Linked DNA regions of Coturnix japonica. The protein of the gene in region 1 binds, or shares a complex with, the protein of each later gene. Links are inferred from orthologs where the notes say so. Each region holds a gene or a part of one and is shown in the gene's direction. Other genes may lie near its edges.

Region 1 (3,510 bases):
TCTCGTGATGAAGAGAGTCAGTATTGAGCCAAATTTTCACAGCTTATATTCAAACTTCCTCGACACTCTTAAGAATCCAGAATTTAATAAAATGGTTCTGAATGAGACTTACAGAAATATCAAGGTGAGTGCACAAGTTCTAATACTTGGGTAAGTTTTAGCATTTAGAGGTATGCTGTTCTCAGGCCATTTTCTTCCTGTGCTGCTTATCTTCAGAAATGGAGTATCTTGGGAAAGTCTACTTCAGCTTAAGCTAACATCTTACTGTATGAATACTGGGATTGTTTTGTTTTCAGTCAGAAAGGATTAAGAGGGTATATCTGCATTTAAGTCCATATTTGTATGAGGCCTGCAAATTGCGGCAGGGAAAATTTCTTTGTGGTCTAGTTTGTGTGGGAGAGTATCAGGATGAGAACCACACTCTGCTGTTTTAGCTGAAAAATAGAGGATAGGGAGCTAGAGTAAACAGAAGTGTAACAACTAAAAATCATTAGAGGACTAAATTAACGTGCATGCTGAAGAGGTCAAGAAGAAATAGCCCTGATGAGGTGAGTGAGTGAATCAAATCTGTCAAGGAAGCACTATTTTTAAACCTGTTGGTGGATTTTCTTGGCCACCGTGGGTTACGCTGTAGTGCAAAAGAATCTCCTGGCTCTTTAGAGTGTGGTTGGCCTTCTGTTTGGCTGATGCTGCTCTGAAGCCAAGGGACAAAGCTAATAGTAGAATGCTAGAGCATGTTTTAGGTCTTGAAGTAAGAATTAAATCGTTTCCCAGGAAATGCCTTCTGGTCTGCAATGAAGTGTTAAGAAGCATTGTCTTCCCAAGTTACATTTTGCTGGGTAGCCTAGCTGCCTTATCAGTAACTGGAAAGCTCTGGGAAGGCGTAATCCTTTCTGATCCCCTCCAAGTAAAGGAATTTTGAAGTCATTACAAGGCAGATTGGTGGGATGCTACCTTGAGGGTAAAGGCTGCTCTTGACTATCTCTGTAATGGGACTGGAGCTCAGAACTTGGTGTTCTGCTTCAGGTCAGAGCAGCTGTTTGATTTGGTGTTGTGTCTGATTTATCTTCCAGTTGTTGCTTGAGTTGTTTTTTTCCATTAGGTGCTACTGACATCAGATAAGGCTGCAGCCAACTTCTCTGACCGTTCCTTGTTGAAGAACCTTGGTCACTGGCTGGGAATGATTACACTGGCTAAAAATAAGCCCATCTTGCACACAGTAAGCTTCTGTCTTCACAGACTTGCTTGACGCAAACTACTGTGGTATTATTCAGCAGCATAGGCTGTTTTGGAAATGCTATCACCAAAATGAAGGGGGTAATATTACGTCAAAATATCCATCTGTGAATCTTTGTTCAAATGCAAGATCACTCTTTAGCATTCCGTAAAACTCTGTTTTGCCATTATATCCTATAAGAAAATAACATGTCAATGGAATTTCTGCAGTGGTCTTGTTTTTTTCTTTCTGCTTTCCTACCCTTTTTAATTGTTGATGGTGTTTTTCAGGATTTGGATGTGAAGTCACTACTACTGGAAGCGTACGTTAAGGGACAGCAGGAATTGCTTTATGTAGTACCATTTGTTGCCAAAGTCTTAGAATCCAGTGTCAGGAGTGTGGTAAGTGACTACATTGGGGCTGTTACTGCTCAAGTGGCAACACAAGCATTGCAGAAATTAAGTAGTGCTTCTCATTAAACCCAATGAACTTCATGTGTAGTGGGGGGTGTAAAGGGATATCACGGCTTCAAGTTAGTTCCATTTTGAGATAAAGTACTTGTCTGGTTGGGTTTTTTGTTCTGTTTTTTTTTTTTGGGGGGGGGGGGTCCATCCTAAACAGATGATGTTGGCTGAACTGTACTGTAGTATCCCCAGACACAGACCTCTGTTGAGAAACAAAAGGATGCCACTGGAGGGGTTCTAGGATCTATTTCTTATTTGGGTGGATTTATTTCCTTCCACCCTCAACATGCGTGTTTTGTCTCTGATGAGCTCTCTTTAACTCTGCTTGGCTAAGCAACTGATCTCTCAGAAGGGTCTAGTAATTGTGCTTCCAGTTTGGCGTTCAGCTTGCTTGTTCATCTGCTTTCTCTCAATACTAAAAGCAGCTTTGCCTGCAGCTGTGTAAACTTCAGTTTCCCCTGTCTGTATGTGCATGTAATGGTTCAGTTTCAAAATGTATTAGTCTTAAGGGAACTAAACCATTCCAGACCACTGTGTAATGCTGCTTTGCATTTTCTCTTGCAGGTTTTCAGGCCTCCAAACCCATGGACAATGGCTATTATGAATGTTTTAGCTGAGCTGCATCAAGAACATGATCTAAAAGTAAATTTTCTGTTTTGCTGTACCTATTGAGCTTGAGGTTTTCTTGACAATACCAGTCAGAAACATGTTGTGAGGGACCAAATTTCACTTCTCACTTCATTGTGTGAGGAACTGGGCATTGCTAACTTAGTAAGAGCGTGGGTGAGTCTTGATTTCTGTGAGGTTAATGTGCAGGTTGTTTGTCTAACCATCACTTGCTTATGCAAAAGAAAAGACAACATGAGTTAGAACATGAAGCTTGGGTTTAGAACAGCCAGTTTGGGTTTTTTTCCTTGTGACATAACCTAAACTAAAATTGTTGTGCAGTTGAATCTGAAGTTTGAGATCGAAGTGCTCTGCAAGAATCTTGCACTGGACATCAATGAGCTGAAACCTGGGAGCCTCCTGAAAGATAAGGATCGTCTGAAAAATCTGGATGAGCAGCTGTCTGCTCCTAAGAAAGATGTGAAGCAGCCAGAAGAGCTGCCACCCATCACAACCACCAGTAAGTATGCCTCAAATCAAACTCAGAACAGTGCTGTATGAAGTTTAGAAAGACAGGCTTGTAGAGAAGAATTTGAAGCTATCTGCACTGCTGTAACATTACTGAAAGCTTAGAATCACTAAAGTAGTGGTGTAATAGAAGGATGTTAACAGGATTAGGAGATGGGAGAGGAATGGAAGCCATCCCACGGACTAATTCTGCATGTGCTGTGTGTAACTGCTCTTTAGAAGAGAGTGAAGCTGGGAGACAGATTGAGATTGTAGCAGGGTTCAAACCCTGCTGTAACAAACAGCTGCCAAAATGCCCTGAAGTTAACCTGGTGCTAGACACTGTGGAGGTGGGGGGAAAAAAGCTGGGTACCTGTAAGGAAGCATTATGGTCAGAACTCATCACTTAAATGATGTGCGTGCTTCCATTTTAATCACTCACTTTTCCCTAATGGTTAAAATAAGCATTTTTATATTCTTACAGCTGCTTCTACAACTCCAGCTACCAGCACCACTTGTACAGCCACAGTTCCTCCACAGCCCCAGTACAGTTATCATGACATCAATGTGTATTCGTTAGGAGGTTTGGCTCCACATATTACCTTAAATCCAACGGTAAGTGCTGATTTGGTTTACTAAGTGCTCCTACTGCTGACATTGCCACAGATCTTAGCTAGTGGGTTTGGCATTATAGAATTCAAAGCTATTTCTTGGAGT
Region 2 (4,283 bases), on another chromosome or scaffold:
CCAGTCCTGGCCATGTAGTTTTAATGTATATAATAAGTAACAAAGCTACTTCACAAAACACTTCAGTCTCAGAAGAAAACAAGCACATCTGGGCAATTAAAACAATGGGAAATCCTCTGATTAATCCTTCTACAAAACAACAGAAGACGAGCACTGAGAGCCTGATTTTGTGGTTGCTTTTCTCTCACAGTTAAATCCCACTTTATCATCCCGACAAAAAACAAAATGCCTTTTTTATTCACCAGGAGTTCTCTTACAGACCTAATCAAGTTGTCAGGAGAAATACTATTATCCTCACCACGTGAAATTAATCTATCAGGAATTTATCTACTGTATTGAGTGTGTATATGACACTCATTTGGATCAGCTCGTATATACGTCTTCTGCTTGGTAACCCTTCACGCAATAAAACAGCCTTCAGAACTCAATCTGTGGATGTCCTACAGCCTTTGGCACAGCTGCTCTGTGTTGGAGCTTAGCAGGAGCCCTCGCTGGATTTAATCAGGCAGGCAGAGCTCAGAAATTCAGCCGGAATCCTTGCTGCTATTAGAAATATGCACTGTCATTTGCTAATTCAGGCTCAGAACCAATTGAGAAACTCAGAGCCATAAATCCTCGTGTGAACGTTGAGTCCTCTGCAGCATATCCTGGAGCAGTCATTTTTGGAGAGGCAGAATACACAGAAGAATGTAGAGCGTCTAGCCAAAGTGTTATATGAAATACTCTTCTCAATGAAGCCAAAGACTTTTCCAAAACTGAAAACTTCTGCTTTTTCTGCCTCTGACGGCCACAACCTCACACAGGAGCAGCAAAGTGCTGCACATCCATCCCTACCCTGGCACTACAAGAGGTGAGAAGCAGCCCTGACAGCAAGCAGCAGCAGCAGCCCACACTGTGCCAGCTCTGCAGCTGATCCATGAGGGACACACAGCCCTCAATGGGGGATGAGGCTGGGTGGGCTCTGAGGTCCTTCTAACCCAACTTATGCTGTAGTTCTACAGCAGGGAGAGGACTGACAGCACCCACTGCCTGACTGGATGCCACGTACCAACACAGCGCATCAGCAACGCCGATGCTGATCCAAACCAGCAGCTTTTTGGGTGCTAAAATAGTTCTTTTGGTACTAGCAACGTCTTTTTGGACACAACCAATGGCTTTTTAGGTACTACCAATACTTCTCGTGGGTACCAATGATGCCTTTTAGGGATACTGGTAGTTTTTGGGGTACCGACAGGGGATACCAATGACAGCTCTCAGTACAAAGGATGCTGTGGGGGTACTAACAAGAGCTTGTTGGACAACGACCCCCCACCCAACGACCCCCGGGACACCCCACGCACACCTCCCCGCCCCTTCCCTGTTCCCACCCCTCCCACCTCCCACTCGCCAATGAACGGGAGGGGTCTCTGGTCGCCGGCGAATGAGAGAGAAGTGGGCACCCCCCCTTTCCATCCCCCGCCCCTATTTAAAGTGCGTGGCGCAGCCGCGCGCTCCCGAAGGCAGCGGGGGCAAATAGCGGCGGGGCCGCTTTGGGGGCGCGGGCGGGCGCTCCCGGACGGCGCCCCCCATGGAGGCTTTTCCCGGTGGAAAGCTGGAGCCGCACCGGCACCTCCCGGCCGTAGAGCGCCTGCAGGGTGCCCGCTACGGCGGCCGGAGCCACAGCGCCTGCGGGAACGTCTTCAACTCGTGGAACGATTACCTGGGGCTGGCCACGCTCATCACTAAAGCCGTGCGTCCCGGGAAGGGCTTCGTTGCCGAACCGCCCGCCGTGGTGGTGGCGGCGGCCGAAGAGGAGGAGGAGGAAGAAGAGGAGGAGGAGGAAGAAGCGGCGGGGCCGTACTTCGAGGGCGCGCTGGACTTGCACGAGCTGGAGCTGTGCGGGCACCATCACCACCACGGCGACGGGCTGCTGGAGGAGCGATTCGCCGATTTCAGCCCCTTCCCCGGGCGCGGCGGCCCCGCAGCGGTGCTGTTCGACTGCTCGGGGGAGCACGGGGGCCGGGACGGCTCGGGCCACGCGTGGGGCGCGGGCGTGGTGGTGGCGGGTCGGCTGCCCGCACACCCTCGAGCCGCGGGGCGCCTGCTGAAACCCGAGCTGCAGGTGTGTGTGTTCTGCAGGAACAACAAGGAGGCGGTGGCTCTGTACACCACGCACATCCTGAAGGGACCCGACGGCCGCGTGCTGTGCCCCATCCTGCGGCGCTACGTGTGTCCGCAGTGCGGCGCCACGCGGGACAACGCGCACACCAGGAGGTTCTGCCCGCTGTCCAAAATGCAGGCGGCCAAACAGCTCCGGCACGCCCGGACCGCGCTGGGCAAGAAGGTCCGCTAGGAGCGGGGGGCTCGGGGACTGGCGGGCGGCTTCGGCGCGGCGGGGACGCCCTGTACGTGTTTCTTGTAAGAAATATAGAGATACGTGGTTTTTAAGGAAACGCCGTTCGCCGCCAGTTCCGACACCGGGCGGTGTGTCTCCCTGCTGCCCCCCGCGCTGCCCGCACGGCTTGGGGAGCGGCCGCCCGCTGCACGGAGGGGAACGAAGGGCTCAAAGCCGATCCAGCGTCCCAATTGGAACCGATGGGGTTTTTGGCTCGGTGGTCGGCAGCAATTCGGTTGAAAGGCTGCACCCGGGGAGGGGCAGGAACGGGACGGTGCCGCCCGGCTCAATGTGCGGCTCTAAGGATGGGGGGGAGGGAGCGGAGGGGGCTGCGCGGTGACTGGGGGACACACGGAGCGGCCCCTGGTGTGACTGTGGGCTTCTGAGGAGACCCAGAGCGAGGAACTGCCCAAAGGAAGGTGATGCGTTTGTAAGGCTAAAGAGTGTGGCTTTAAGTGGGTGGGGGCACGGGGGAAGCACCCGTGTGGTTACCGAGTAGCTTTCATGTATACCGAACACGGGACGCAGCCACGGGACTGCGTCGCTCTCAGAGAGGTGGGGAATTTGCTTTCATTGCAACTTAAAGCAGGAGAAGGAGCAGCAGCAGCAGATCTGTGGGTCTCTCCGGGGTCCTCTGGAGCCAAGAGGGCAGTGCAGAAGGCTCTGGCTGTACCCAGGTTCGCCTGGAGGGTGAGAAAGGCACCGCGTCCTGATGGGAAGGGGAGATGGACAAGTGAGAAGTGACGGATTTAATGTGAGTTCCTCCTGAGGAGCTGCTCTGTGGGGTGGGACAGTGAAGCAAGTAAGTGGGACGGGCAGGAGTGGAGTCAGGATGGGCTGGAAGGAGCCTGGGGGTCGCTATTCACAACTGCTGTTGGTTCCCTCAGCTGAGAACAGGGTTGTGAATGGAAGTGCTCTCTTCAGGCTTCATCACATTGCTCCAGCGATGGCATTAGGTCTAATTAGCAAATGCAAATAGACTTGCATTAAATACCACCTCGCTGTGGCTGCAGCTGGCTGTATGGAGCTGCCTGTTGGCTGTGCCAGCTGTGTGCTGTCTCTCCTTCCATGTGATTTGCCCTGCAGGTTCTCAGCTGGTAGAATTCAGGCATTGGATTTTGTGATGTCTGTCTTCACCGCAGATTGGGATTGAGCTCCAGTGTAACGCTGTGGAACAAATTCAGTCTCTTTGTTAGCTTCTTGATGAGCATATGTGTTTCAATTCGGGTGACTGTTTATGGACACAAAAGCAAGAAAGATGTAAGGAAGGTTCTCAGCTGCTTTGAGGGGACATTCCGAGGGCTGCCATACACCCACCTCCCCTGGTCTGTAGATTAAGTTACCCCATAGCAACTGCCCCACTGCACCGCCTGGGAGCTTGTCAAGATAGCAGAATGTCTCCTTGCCATGGATGCCAGCCCTGTCTGTGCCCTCCACATGGGTGAGAAGAAAGCTGCTCCTGTGATGGTGGCTCCTGCTGTGTGTGCTGAGTCCTCCAGCTGTCCGTGTGTACCTGCACTGCGTGGCATCAGGCCTGGGAGTCGGGCCCCAGCAGGTAAGGCAGCAGCAGTGGCTGGAGAGAGCAGCTGTGTGTGGGGTGGGAGGGGAATCGGCCTACTTCAAACTGAGCTCCCAGAGCCATTTCCTGCACACCAGCACACTCTGCAGCACCGAGCAGGCAGACACACCTGCCTTGTGGTCACAAGTCTGTTATGGTAGATGCTGCTTACACACACACTGAAACAGCTTATGGTAGTAACCTAAACTCCTAGGAACAGCGTGTGCCTTCATCTGCCAGCAGCCCATGTTGGAAGCTATTGCATGCTCCACAGGTGTCTTGTTCAGCCTGATGCTATTGTTATTTATTCTGCACACAGCTGCAGATCTTTAGATCTGGCTACTGGTTTGA

Evidence for each region.
Region 2: the proteins of CNOT1 (region 1) and NANOS1 are in contact, whole or in part, in a crystal structure (PDB 4CQO), measured with the Homo sapiens proteins. The link is inferred for Coturnix japonica from reciprocal best matches to the Homo sapiens genes CNOT1 and NANOS1. Residues at the interface, in NP_057368.3 of Homo sapiens: Ile2327, Ile2330, Lys2331, Trp2338, Glu2350, Phe2353, Gln2354, Val2356, Ala2357, Met2361; in NP_955631.1 of Homo sapiens: Phe40, Ser41, Ser42, Trp43, Tyr46, Leu47, Leu49, Thr51.

The regions. Positions count from the first base shown.
Region 1 is NC_029526.1:1,180,146-1,183,655, forward strand, and holds part of CNOT1 (CCR4-NOT transcription complex subunit 1), read left to right. Parts: coding exon 1-124; intron 125-577; exon of another isoform or gene 578-713; intron 714-1,102; coding exon 1,103-1,219; intron 1,220-1,506; coding exon 1,507-1,617; intron 1,618-2,244; coding exon 2,245-2,322; intron 2,323-2,628; coding exon 2,629-2,806; intron 2,807-3,277; coding exon 3,278-3,408; intron 3,409-3,510.
Region 2 is NC_029521.1:26,722,662-26,726,944, forward strand, and holds the start of NANOS1 (nanos homolog 1), read left to right. Parts: upstream 1-1,478; 5' UTR 1,479-1,567; coding exon 1,568-2,332; 3' UTR 2,333-3,929; intron 3,930-4,283. UniProt on the Homo sapiens protein: May act as a translational repressor which regulates translation of specific mRNAs by forming a complex with PUM2 that associates with the 3'-UTR of mRNA targets. Capable of interfering with the proadhesive and anti-invasive functions of E-cadherin.